2 linked regions of the Arabidopsis thaliana genome follow. The protein of the gene in region 1 interacts with the protein of each later gene in a pairwise test. Each region holds a gene or a part of one and is shown on either strand. Other genes may lie near its edges. The genes, in order: NAC004 and AT5G44260.

Region 1 (7,195 bases):
CAAAATATCTTTACCCTTTGGTTTATATTTTAGTTTTTTTTTTTTTTTTTTTTTTGTCAACCGATATAAATTAAACCTCAAAAGAGCCAATCCCGAGGGATATTGTTTACATACGTGACATGATGCGGTACGGTACGAATCTTTCGTGCCAACTTATCCGCTTTTACATTTGCACTACGAGAAATTAAAGATAAAGAGAAATTTGTGAATTCTTCCCTATCACTTTGCAACTCCTCCAAATACACTGAAAACGCCGGCCATTCGGTTGGAGAAGACACCATCTTCACCAAGTCTGAACAGTCTGTAAAGAAAGCTACGTTCTGATTATCTGCTCCAATCATGCACTTCATCGCCCAAAGAAGAGCTTCCATTTCGGTATGTAGAGGAGATAGACTTCTACGAACGTTGGCGGCTCCCATGGTTGGCGACTCTCCAAGAGATGATAGACAGAACCATCCTGTTCCTGAGAACTGGTCACTTGCTTTCCAAGATCCATCAATAAAACACCGAAAGCCAGAAAAAGTTGTATCTTGTGATACATCCCTCACCCGAATTCGACTATCTATAGACAAGGAACCATGTTTTTCACTATGGAGCTCGACTTGAGCTTCCTGCCACGATTGAGCCTCTTTTACCGATAAGAGCAATATTTCCATTGGATCTTTATCCACATTTTCAAAAACTTTTTCATTTCTTGCTTTCCATATATACCAAATTATCCATGGGTAAGAAGCCGAATCGACGCCTGAAGGAATTCTCCAAAACAAATGATCCAAATTCGTAAAAATTGAATTCGAAGGAAAAATCCTTGGGGCCGTAGGAATTTGTGATAGTGCCCAAATCTGCCTTGCAGGATGGCATAGAAAAGGTTTATATTTTAGTTTTAATATAAAAAAGAGGGGAAAAGAGTATTTGCAAGTTGCAAGTTTTTAAAATATACATTAATCAAAAGACTGACATATAATTATTGCACTTATCATGTGACAGTTACGCTGTTAATCCCACATTTTTTTTTCTATTTTTGCTCTGTTAAATTCGATAGTTCATTATTTATGTCGAAGCAAACGATGTAAAAATGTAAACCACATATAATGATTTTGTATATAGGAAACTTCGTAGGAGGCGTAGATAAAAGAACTAGACAGCTCCAACCAAATACTCCTCCTCCTACTTAGTAATTTTTTTTGCTAAATACAGCTTATTAGTTCGTTATAAGAGTTACCAAGGAGTAGTAAAGCTAAAGTATTAGCAAGTTGCAATTTAGGATTTTCATTAATTAATTGAACAGTGAAGTAGTGGTGGGCCAGGACATGTTACCAAACACCAACAACGACCAAATCTAAAATATGTGAGCTAATTGGGCCACGTGGAAGCATTTTAATTACACGCGCCGTGCATACTTTTCAACCAAGGCACAGTTTCAACTTTCAACTAAGGCCATAATATTTTCTGGCCATAAAATATTCTTTCAGATTTAGAGAAAATGTTTTTTTTTTTGTTTTTTTTTTAAATTTTAGAGAAATGTTTGGTAACAGTTTGCTGAAATGATTTTGATTTGGATTGGTTGTATTTAGCCAAAGAATCTTGTTCATTATTTGTTAATAAAATAAAAAATCTCAAAATGAGGAAGAAAACAAAAAGTTAGCATCAGTCAAATGGGGTTTGGACTCAAAGATAAAAGTGACAATATGCTGCACGTAAGATGTAGACTAAAAGTCTTATAGAAAACTCTTGACATTATTAAAATCGAAGCATCTTGATTTGATATTATCCTTGTTTCCTTTTGTTGAGAACCTGACATCTTTTGTGGGGATTAGGTAGGACTATAGCCTCAAGGTTGATTGTGATCATTTTCATCTTTTGTCAAAGAAAGTGACCATTTTATTAGTTGTATCGTGTATGAATTGAAAATTATCCAACTTTCTCTTCTCGGACTTCTCATCACAAATTTACCGTTTTTATATATTGGACCAACATAAAATAGGGAAATTTTACACAAAAAAGGATAGACATAACATTTTGGTAGTTGTATTAATTGAATTCATACAACTTTATCTTCTCTAACAACTTCGTATCACAAATCCACCCTTTTTATATAGAGAGAGTACATACATGAAGTCACACAATCTGATCAAAGTTTACAAAACAAGATAGACATAACTTATATTTCTACAAATTTGGAAAAGTACTAAAAGGTGTTCTTGGTCTCATCTATTGTTATCATGTTCTTGAGATAGAATAACATTGGTGAATTTTCTTGACTAATCTGTGTATCATCCTGTAAACGAAACTAGCTCTTTTCTTCTTGACAGACTCTTCACCCAATTTATGCTCTCGAATCACAGTCACTTGACCCGGACCTTGGCTCACCTGCAAAATATATTAAAGAACCAACCATTTAAATAATTTCTCTAATCTGGTCTCAATGTTGTGAGTGGTGAAATTAACAAAGTAACATGATTAGCATTTAGAGTTAAATGAGATAATAAATCTCACCTCTTGAGTTAATGACACTAGCTGGACTGTTGAGTCAGGAGAATGTTGAGTTTGGTCTATCTGATGATTTGAGCTAGCAAAACTAGCACAAGTGCTCGAAGTTCCAATAGAATTCTGTCATATGAAACAAAAACTTTAGCTTTCTGATGTCAAATCTGAAAACAGAGGATTATCAAGATGCAGAGTAAAATTTTGCTTACTGTTTTAGGAGATATCAAATCAGAATCATTATCATCACTGCTATCATCACTGAAGACACCAGTTAACGACTTTAGAGGTGTGTAATCGCTGCGATGATCTTGCATAAACATGATATTCCTCTGCTCATCACCATCATTATTCAACCATGTTTTCCATTCCTCCTCAATCGGTGTAGTTGCATCATCGATTTGAGATTCTCCCTGCACATTAGCAAAGACACCAGACTGACTTGAATTCTGTAATTCTTGGCTGTGAAACGACGAACCCTGAAAAAGGGGAGGAACACTAATGTCAGATATTTCAAAGTTTCTAAAGACAAAACAGAGAAAGTTTGAGATTCTCCCACCTCAGATCCTCCAGAACTGTTCACAAGAGGGATTAAAGAGTGAATCTGTTCAATTTCACTACCAGTAGAAGAAGAAGAGATCTCTGTCTCTTCACCCTTAAACTCAACTTTGCAGACTGTATACGTCATCATCTGTACAAATAATCAAATCAAAACACGATCACCACCACAAAACACCAGAATTAGGTCAATTAACAAGAGAGATAGAAAAAACCCTAGGAATCTGGAATTAGGTCAATCAACAACAAAAAACCCTAAAAGTTTGGAATTGAAAAATTACCTGATTAGGAAACAAGGACGTAGCGTGATACTCGTGCATAACCCAGTCGGTCTTTGAACCATCTCGATTCTTAAAAACCAAAACCCTTTTCTCACCGATCTTCTCACGATTTCCTCTTTTGCGCATGACAGTCATTGTTTTTCCAGTTTTCTTCCAAAACCCAGAGTTTGTTCTTCTTCTCTGTTGATCACCTCTGTTATACTTCATCTCCTTAACACTAAAGAAATACCAAACCCCATCTCTCGATTTGATCATCGACTTGGCTGTGAAAAAAGAGGGAGAGGAAATCAGAGCAAATGATTTCGAATTCGATACAACAGTTTGGGAAAAAATAACTCGACTTACAAGGTAAATCCCAAGGCTCGAAGCTACAGATATCGACTGTGCTAATGACTTCATCGACATGGCTAGTGTCACTATCGAGATTTTTTGGCCGGAGGTAATGGTCGACGATCTCCTCGTCGTTTGGACGGAATCTGAAACCCACCGGATTCATCATTGTCCGAGAGCGACTAAAGTTTCAGATAAAAGACAAAATTGGTGAGAAAAAGTCAAAATATGTAGCAGAGAGGTTTCGCCATTAACGATGCTCTGCAAGTTATGTGTGAGTTTTTTTGTTTTTAGGAGGAAGACGAAGTGTGTGTTTATAATTTTTTATAAAAAGGCTGTGACGGGAGTAAGTGACGTCAACTATGACCAGATGATGGGACCCACTAAGTGGATGACGTCATGTATGATGAAAGCAGGACACATCACACCAAGTTCACATGGCGGCGGCTGGCACTTATCCTAATGACCCCACCATGATTTTTCCAATCCCCACACACTTGTTTTATTTGTTTACACTTTCTGACAAATTCTCTAAATACTCTTTTTCATTCCGTTTTATTTTACCGGATTAATGACATTTTCACATTCCGATTTAGTATAATTTTTAACACGTTTTATAGTAAATACATAGTAAAATCACTTTTTTTAAAAGTCGGTAACGTGGAAAATAATAAAACAACTGGTAAAGAAAGATAAAATTTATCAAATTGAATGATGACGACCGTTAAGACGTTCAAATAAAATAAAAGTTATGATTAGTCTAATGGCGGGTTTTGGGCTTAAACATCTAACATGACAAGATATTCGCGTGGCACACATCTATAAAAGTCCAAAAGAGACTCGTGACATTGCTAGAATTAAGATTAAAGCATCTTTGATTTGATGATACTGTTATTTTATTTTGTTGAACGAAATCTTTTGTGGGGTTAAGTAGGACTAGCTGACTAGATGAGTAGAGGTTGATTGCTACGAAAAATTGTCTATTTTGTTAGGTTGATTGCTACAGCTTTTGATATCCATATTGTATCTCTAGTTTTCTTCCATTAAAAAGGAGGGAAAATCCGAATATTTTTCGGGGATTCTAAAATAAAACAAAACAATACATAATTATGGGAGTTATTATGTCACGTTACTACCAAAAAAAAAAAAAAGATGTGGTTTGACCATTTTGTTAGTTGAATCAAATGAAGTGATACATCTTTCTTTCCTCTAACCACATCTTATCACAAATTCACCATTATATTTTAATATATCTCAGGGCACACATACAATGTGTAAAAGTTACAAAACCAGATAGACACATATTACATACTACTACAGATTTTGGAAAGTACAAAATTGATATCATGTTCTTAGGTGAATTTTCTTGACGAATTTTTGTATCATCCTGTGAAAGAAACCAGCTCTTTTGTTCTTGATCGTCTCTTGACCCAATTTATGCTCACCAATCTCAGTCCCTTGTGCATCATTATCAATACCGGTTCCCGGTGTTTTGCTCACCTTAAATCACATCATAGAACCCAAAATGCTGTGAGTACTGGCACAAAGTAGCTTGGTTAATTAGCAGTTTAGAATGGTTGGTCTTTAAGAAAAGGAGATGATAAAGCTCACCTCTTGAGCTAATGACACTAACTTGATTGAGTTAGGAGATTCCTGCAAGTCAGTGATTTGGTATAGAGGATTTGAGCTACCAAAACTAGGACAAGTGCTTAAAGTTTGAATGGAAATCTGTCGTATTAAACAAAACTATAGCTTTGTGAGAAAAAACTGAAAACAGAGGAGATAGTAAAGGTAAAATAGGAAAATTTTGCTTACAGTTGTTGCAGAAATCGGATCAGAATCACTACCATCGGTGCTATGATCACTGAAGACACCGGTCAATGGCTTTTGAGGTGTGTGGTTGTTGCGATCATCTTGCATAGAAACAATCTTACTCTGCTCATCGTCATCATTAAAGAAGCCTTTGAAATCATCACTCAAAATATTGCAGAAGTCCCTATCTAGTGCATCCACATCAAGAAAGCCAGAAAACTGACTTGGATTCTGTGATTCTTGGCTGTGAAACAACGATCCCTGAAAAAAGGAACAACGTAACACAGATGAAAAAACTATGTGTACGAGATATGATTTTGAAGATTTAAAAGAGAAACAGGGAAAGTTTTTGAGATTGACTCACCTCTGTCTCTACACTCAAAACTCCAGAATTGTTGGTAGGAGGGATTAAAGAGTGAGTATGCTTAATTCCACTACCAGTAGCAACTGAAAATTCTCTCCTTTCACCCTTAAACTTAACTTTGCAGAGTGTGTATGTCATTATCTACAGATCAACTCAGCATAAATGATTACCATAAACTCAGATTTTTCCCGTTTACGAGAAATAAAATCACGGTAAGAAAACAACAACAACAAGTTAAAGAAGCCTAAACAAGAGAATCGAAAAATGACCTGATTAGGAGACGAGAACGTAGCGTGATACTCATGCATAGCCCAATCGGACTTGGAACCACCGTGATTCTTAAACACCAAAACCCTTTTCTCACCGATCTTCTCACGATCTCCCGTTTTGCGCATTATATCCATGGTAACGCCAGTTTTCTTCCAAAAACCAGACTTGGTTTTTCTTATCTGTCGATCACCTTTACCATATTTGTTCTCCTTACGGCCGAAGAAATACCAAACCTGATCTCTTGTTTTCATCCTAGAATGGGCTGGGAAAGACAGAACATGATCAGAAATTACCGGGATGATACAACAGTTGGGAACCAAAGAAAAACAAACACTCGCGTTAGAAAGACTTACAAGGTAAGTCCCAAGGGTCGAAGCTACAAATATCAACTGTGCTAATGACTTCATCGACATGGCTCGTGTTACTTTCGAGATTTTTCGGTCGGAGGTAAATGTCGACGATCTCCCCGTCAGTCGGACGGAATCTAAAACCCACCGGATTCGCCATTTTTCAACAGCTACAAAAAGGTTCAGATCAAAACTAAGAGAGGGAAAGATATCAAAATATGAAGTAGAGAGCTTTCTCTATGGTCGCTCTTCGCCCGCTCGTCTACAAGTTTATATCATAAGAGCAAGTCCAACAAAGGGATTTAAAGCATATCTTAACTGTTGAGAACCAAATTTAAAAAACTACCGCTGGTCATGCTCTAAGCAGGCAAGATGGGTTTGTGCGCTTATATAAGGCACAATAAAGGAGATCCTAAAAAAAAAAAAAAAAAAAAAAATTGAGATCCTTGGTAGATTTCGTCAACTATTTTACGGACAGGTTTTGGACCCCATAATGCAGATGTTGGGTCACATAATTTCTTTCCTACCAGATCATCTTCTTGATACCCTACCCACTTAAGTCAAAGTGCGCTTAGTCATGTGATGTGACAGTTACTCCTAACGTTAACGTCAATGGTTAATTTATCTTGAAGCTTATATAAGATCACAAAAAGTAAACCACATTGAAATTTGTATATAGGAAACTTCGTAGAAGTCGTAAATAAAAAGAACCAGCCACAAATATAAGGATTTGCCGAGTATGGAACATA
Region 2 (7,073 bases), on another chromosome or scaffold:
ATCTCTGAGTCAGCCAGTCAGGTGAGAATTCACAGAAATTATTTGAGTCTTTGAATATGTAAAGGAAACTGTATATGTTGACGAAGAAACAGCAGATGAACAGTCACTTACTCTTTAATCACTGGCTGTGCTCTGAAGACAATAGGAAACAAACAAAAGCTCTATAGCCTGAGACATTTCCGTCGACACTACTGAAGATGTCTCTCTCCGTACGGGCTAGCGGCTAGCCCGGGCCATCGTTTCTAGATGGAACTCCTGCAACAGTAAGAATAAAGCCACGTTTAAAACGTCTCACTCAGAAAATATTTTGGATAAGAGCGTTTGAATCTCGTGGTCTGATCAGTGTGGTTGACTTGAAATTCTGGAGGATGTGGTGTACTTCTTTGTGGTGTGGGCATAGCTGGAGCTGCCAAAATCTTTGTGAAACAGAGAGGAAGCGCATGCTTAGTTTTCAGTTTTCTCATTTCTGTGCAGCTCTGTTGTTTCTGAAGTTACAGAAGAGAGAGACGTTGTGGGAAAGCCACGCAGTACCTTCTTATTCTAAGGTCGCTCTTTTAACTAAGGCATCTTTGCCAACATCTCTTCCTCAAGCTCTGAAGTGCGTTAAGTCTTACAGGACGAACTCTCTGAGATGTCACAAACTCTGAATTCTTTCGCCTTTTTAGTGTCATCGGCAGACGCAATGCACCTTTATGTTCTCTGTCCGGGTTTGCTTAGTGACTGAAGGGCAGAAGTTGAAGCTCGTGTTAACAAGTCCTTGTTTTTTCTTGTGAGGCAAAGTTGTTGGTTTTAGGTTCAGAATCTAGTGACATCAACGGTCGGATTAACACATACAGTGAGATAGTGAAACAAGTATTGCAGTTTGAGTTGACTAACTTGTCTGGATTTACCTCCCATCATCAAGCTTTTGCCTTTTGATGGCTTCACCTGTCTTGATTTAGAGTTATGCAAAACAAGCAAGATAGTACAGTCTCTAGATTTACAGTCTCTAAATAATAATGATAATAAGGTGAGCCATCAAATAGAGGTAAAATATTTTGTATTACTTTTTAATCTTTTGTTTACTCACAATTACAACAATCTAAATGAAACCAGATTCAAACTTTATTCTATATAAAACTTTATTCTATATAAAACTGACACTTAAATGACAATAAAATGTAAATTTAGTAATGGTAGGACGATTTTTGCTTCTCACAAAGATCAAATAAAAAGAAAATTCACATGTACATATTACGAGTATAAGAAAATATTAACTACCCTTTAGAAATGGTCAGCCTCGGTAGAAACGCACCGAAGTACTTTAGAGTGGACTTCTCCACGAAGGACCACCACACTGTCTGTCCCGAGTTTGGAATGCTTTCCGACTAATGCCAGAGAGTAGTCAGGCCGCATGCATTTCTGACTACCAGGTAAACTAATTGGGCCAAGGCCCAACTGACAAACTTCCCAAACAAATGTGATTTTTGTTTCCATAGAGGATCGAACTCGGGTCTGGAAGTTTTACCCTTCCCCAAATCTTCTCTTACCACTGGACCACAAATGCTTGGGCGAGTAGCTATTAATTATCCTCCTGTTAGGTTTATTCCTGAGTTTTGTTTGATAAAATAAAATAAAAACCTAGGTTCATTCGATTTGTATTATTGTTCTCATTGGTATTTACGTATACGATGACACAACCATCAACAACAACAAAAACTCATGAAATAAGCATGATCACTAATACTGAACTACTATGTACAAATTAGTCTAAGGTTGGTCTCATTGTGTATATCAATTAATTCGAAGTCTAGAAATGGATACACACACCACTAAATTAGTCGCGATTTCACTTCTACTGCTTCTCGTGATCTCCGATTACACTAGGCTAATGATTCAGGTTCACTCGTACGTACCATTTTGTGCATACACATATGATTACTTTTCTTATTGTCTAGACTTTCTCACGGGATATTACTACAAACCCGGTAAAAAATGTTGTGTCCATATCGTAAAACTTAACATAATTGCGAAACACAAAAAAGAGAACCCGAGGCTTTTGTGTAATTGTGTTGAGATGATGACGAGAGGTTATACGCCTCCAATGTTGGCTGATAAGATCCAACAGCTTCCTCTTCTTTGCAACACACATCTCAGTTTCCCTATCTCCTCTAGCATGGATTGCTCCACGTAAGTTTATAAACATTAAATTTTACTTTAAGTGGAGAAAGATTCGAGATTGGTTTGGGTTTTGATTTAAGATGATCTTTTTTATATAAACTAGTTATGTTGTTGTGTTGTATATTCAAAACTATTAATAATGTAGCATGTGTTTGGTTTTATGCAGGGTTTAAAGTCTTGAGGGGTTGTGTGGGCCAGTTTGCTTTGGGGTGTTCAAGAAATATGGTTCTATGTGTATGGGTATTCAATTTTGGTCTTGTTTATATTAGTTTGGTTCTTTTTTTTCTCCAGATTTTGACTATTTTGGTTTAGAGAATGTGGCAGCCACATTTTAAAAGTTGAATCTAGCATATATTTGTGTCATTTTCGTTAGATTTCGAATTCAGTTTTCTTACAAAAAAAGTATATCTTTATACTAGTATACTTCCAACAAATTTGAAGTATTGATTTAGATAATTTCCACTTTTAATACAATGCTGAAGGGACACTTGATGACTTGAATGAAAGATTTCTTCTCAATTTCTTTTTGTTGTCTTATCTGTTATTTAAAATTTTAAATAGACTTTTTAGCTAATGATTTATTCATAAAAAAAAATTTGGATTGGACAACTAATCAATAAATTTTAAAATAAGCAAAATGTGCAGTAACAAAAATAAAATAAATGTATAAAACATATCGATTTTAAAACAAAATATCATATATATGCGTTATTTCTTCATAACTATGCGTGTTTAAAACAATTGTCCTTAAGAAAAGAGTAACCGATTGGAAGGAAAAACCAAAGGATCTTCGTTTCCATGCGAGCCACGTAACCAATAAAGAGATCCACCCTTGTTTAACACCTCAAACCTGTTAAGACTAATCACAATGTTCGAAGATAATGCCATTTCTATATATATTTAGTATAGCATCACACATGCGTTCTGTGTTGCAAAGTTTACTCTAGAGTTATCACTGAGTCATGACTCATGATGACCATTATTATAGTATTAGTACTTTTAAGTTTTAGGTCGAGAATATGAAGCTAATACATGCATGTAATGATGTAAATATGCCTACCTTAAAAAATATCGAATTATTCAGAAACAATGACTCGATATCCGTAAGAAACCGCCAGCTCCTGCTGAATTGCATGAACCTATCTTAATATTCTTTCGCCACGAACTCTTCCCTTTTGTCTCCTTCTTATAACTCTACACATCATCATTTCTTTTCCACTAAATAACTTACAATACGTATACCTTTTTCTTTTTTGTCAATTTAAATCAACACTAAGATATACTTTAAATACGAATCATTTAAATGAATATAATGTACTAATTGTTTCAGATTTTATTTCCTGTTTAAAAATATACTCATGAACTAAAACTAATTAATAAAATGTGGATAAATTAAAGCCTTTTAACAAAAAAAAAATGTGGATAAATTAATATCAATATGTTTCCTTTTTATTTTATTTTATCTATTTCAAAAAAATAAGTTATTCAATACATATGTTGATATTTTGACTATTTTTAATCATAATTTAAATCAATTGTTGTGTTCTTAAGCAAAATATCTAAAAACGAATATAACCACGTCCACCATAGAAGCACTGCAATTTTAGCATTCTAAAACATCCTTGATATTTTTTTGTCAACGTCTTATTATCTTTTATCTCAAACCATGTATATGGATGTATCCACTAACGCATATATATAGAGACAATTAGGCATCTATCATTTTATCCCACACTTATCTCTTCCTATCTCTCTCTCATTCAAACCCAAATAGGAAACAAATACACAAAAGTATAATAAAAAGTCTTTCTCTCATCTTTCGCCACGTAGACATGGACGTCGAACATCACAAATCCGGCCACATCAGTAGACCAACGGTGGATATTCCACCGAGGAAGCTTCTTTCCTCCGCCAAGTCTCCGTCGTCAGTTTCAAGTCCCCTTCGCGACTATAAAGAACAGAAAGACTATTGTTACGACTCTGACTCTGAGGATCCTTACGCTGGAGACCATTTCCGGATGTACGAATTCAAGATCCGACGGTGCACGCGTAGCCGTAGCCATGACTGGACCGACTGTCCTTTCTCTCATCCCGGTGAAAAGGCTCGTCGCCGTGACCCTCGCCGGTTTCACTACACCGGAGAAGTATGCCCTGAGTTTAGCCGTCACGGTGATTGTAGCCGTGGTGATGAATGCGGTTTCGCTCACGGGGTTTTCGAGTGTTGGCTTCATCCGAGTCGTTACCGTACGGAAGCTTGTAAAGACGGTAAGCATTGTAAGAGGAAAGTTTGTTTCTTTGCTCATTCTCCACGTCAGCTGAGAGTTCTTCCACCGTCCCCGGAGAATCATATTTCCGGTGGTTGCGGTGGATCACCGTCGTCATCCCCTGCATCGGTTTTAAGCAATAAAAATAATCGATGTTGCTTGTTTTGTTCCCATTCTCCGACGAGTACTCTCTTGAATTTATCACGATCACCTTCATCGTCTCCGCCTTTGTCTCCAGCTGATAAAGCCGATGCATTTTCACGGCTGAGCCGCCGTCGCACCGCCGTACTAAACGAACTGATTAGTTCTTTAGATTCCTTAAGTCTCACGGAAGCACTTGCAGCTTCTTCATCGTCTCCCGTTACCATGCCCATTTCCACGGCGACGATGATCGCTTCATCGAATCTAAGCAGCAACCACCACCACCACCGTCTTCCGCCGTGGCTTGATGTCGGAGACAGAGATCTCCAATTACAACAGAGTAGTCCTCTACGATTTGCTCTTTCACCTTCTTCAACTCCAAGTTACCTCCATGGCCAGCTTCAGCCACCACCGTCGAGCTTCTTTGGCGATGAATTCACACCACGTGGTGGCCGGCTAAGCGATTTCTCGGTGGCTGCAGCTGCGGCGGCCCAAGCTAGGGATAAAAATAGCTTTGAAGTCGGTTCTAGTGGCGATCTTGATCTAGGATGGGTGAACGATCTTTTGACATGAACAGTATGACATCAACTGTGAACTACTTGAGATCTTTCCCGACGGGAATAATTATACGGCGGCGCCGCGGCGGAGGTCCGTCGTGGTACATTGTTTATTAAAAAAGTATTTACGATTTTTTCCACGAGAGCTAATTAAGAGTCTGTAGTACTATGTCGTGCTTTAAAAATATATTTTTACTGTATTTTTTGTTAAATAAGAGAGTCCATAACTTCTATTGTTATATTGATCTCTTGGAACTTGTAATATCTACTACATTGTGATCGAATTCCTATGTAATGTTTACTTCAAAATATTCTGTTTAATAGAAAATGATGATGTAGTTATATGCCTACAGTACTTTTCATTAATGTCCACAATCATTACTATAAGAAAATTGATTCTTAATTAATTACATAGATTTAAATCGGTACATCAAAGAATTGTATATGCTCTATATTTGTGCTATTAAGCAAGTGAAACATTAACATTGTAATTGTAACATAACATTATGTCCCTCGAGTCGAGTATATATATAGTGGAGAATAACGTTATTGTTAGGTTTCGTTGGTTGATTGTGGAGCAAATATGCTATTCCTATCATATACTAGTTACTACAAAATCTTAAAATCTTCATTTTTATGACACTAGAACTTAAAAAGTCCGATAATAATAATATAATTTCCCCACTCCGAGAGCACTTGTTTCCTAGGAGACATACTTATCTGAACGACAGCTGTACATGCATAGAGATAGAGGTGTACATTACTCATATAGATATGGTATAATTAGGTATAATATATATACAATTATACATGTGTATATATGTACATGTGATCATGTGCATGTATATACATAAATAGATAAACATAATAGCAAATATACAAAAGCAAAGTATGTCGGGGTGTGGAGGTGTCACGTGGACCGGATGACCCACCAATACTTAGTTCCCATTCTCATCTCGATGGGTCGATGAGTCCTTTAGATGTCTCCTTGGAGACATATTTCACCATCATGCATTATATGTATTTACATATGTTTTTGGAGAAAGGACCGTGGGCCAATTACACCATAAAATGGACCCTAATAAGCTTGGATTTAAATATTATGGTACATGGAACTCTAACCATTTACTTCTTGTTGAAGAGTTTGGTGCATGCATGTACCTTTAACTTCCCATCTTTTTTCTTGATTTTTCTTTTGGAGTGTTCACTCTTTGAGATGTGAGAGTGAGGACCACGTACGTACGGTACTACGGTAGATGAATAATACAATGTGAAGAGAGTTATAAAAAAAAAAAAAAAAAAAAAAAAAAAAAAAAAAAAAAAAATTTATCTCTTATGTTCTTGAAGTGTCGAATTTTCAGGGATTTTTTCAGCTCTACAATTCCGATCCATTAGCTTCATGGTTTTTGAAACCCCATGTAATATAGAAAACTCCACAATCCAATAATTCAACACAAACAAGTAAATTAACACACGAGAAATCTGTATAATCCATTAATCAAAAGTTCAAAACAACGTTCATAAAATGCAGATTCAATCATCAAGCTAGCTCTCAAGATGAAAGAAACCCAACCAAATATCCAAGGAAGATCATTATAGCAGAGTTCACAAGTTTAGAGATGATGCGATAATGATGAAATGAGCTAAACACATGCTCTTTATATGCAGCTAATAGCTTGAATTCAAAGTAACAACACCATATTTTCCCTTTCTTGCAATGATATAGCTACCACATCGACTTTGGATTCCCCTTGTAAATACGATAGATGAACTGGTGGAGCTTTCCATAAACCGCCTCAAAAGGTGTCAAGTGAGTGGCAGTGAGATAATTTGTATTGTACCAATACTCAATTAACGCCAACCACTTACTCCACAAAAAGCAGTTGAGTATTGCACAAATACCGCAAGTAAGTTTCCAAGCATCTATTGACCACTTCCGTCAGGCCATCAC

What was found.
Region 2: the proteins of NAC004 (region 1) and AT5G44260 interact in a two-hybrid assay, tested with the Arabidopsis thaliana proteins (one large-scale study listed by BioGRID).

Annotation. Positions count from the first base shown.
Region 1 is NC_003070.9:432,954-440,148, forward strand, and holds NAC004 (NAC domain containing protein 4), read right to left. Parts: upstream 3,970-7,195; 5' UTR 3,823-3,969; coding exon 3,669-3,822; intron 3,587-3,668; coding exon 3,324-3,586; intron 3,176-3,323; coding exon 3,044-3,175; intron 2,964-3,043; coding exon 2,697-2,963; intron 2,611-2,696; coding exon 2,497-2,610; intron 2,371-2,496; coding exon 2,221-2,370; 3' UTR 2,012-2,220; downstream 1-2,011. Other genes in the region: NAC005 (NAC domain containing protein 5), read right to left, coding at 4,998-5,153, 5,265-5,381, 5,469-5,726, 5,830-5,970, 6,099-6,361, 6,453-6,606.
Region 2 is NC_003076.8:17,828,039-17,835,111, reverse strand, and holds AT5G44260 (Zinc finger C-x8-C-x5-C-x3-H type family protein), read left to right. Parts: upstream 1-3,775; 5' UTR 3,776-3,992; coding exon 3,993-5,138; 3' UTR 5,139-5,494; downstream 5,495-7,073. Other genes in the region: AT5G44270 (TPX2 (targeting protein for Xklp2) protein family), read right to left, coding at 1-2, 296-485, 615-712, 891-988, 1,295-1,476; AT5G44265 (Bifunctional inhibitor/lipid-transfer protein/seed storage 2S albumin superfamily protein), read left to right, coding at 1,796-2,169, 2,327-2,333.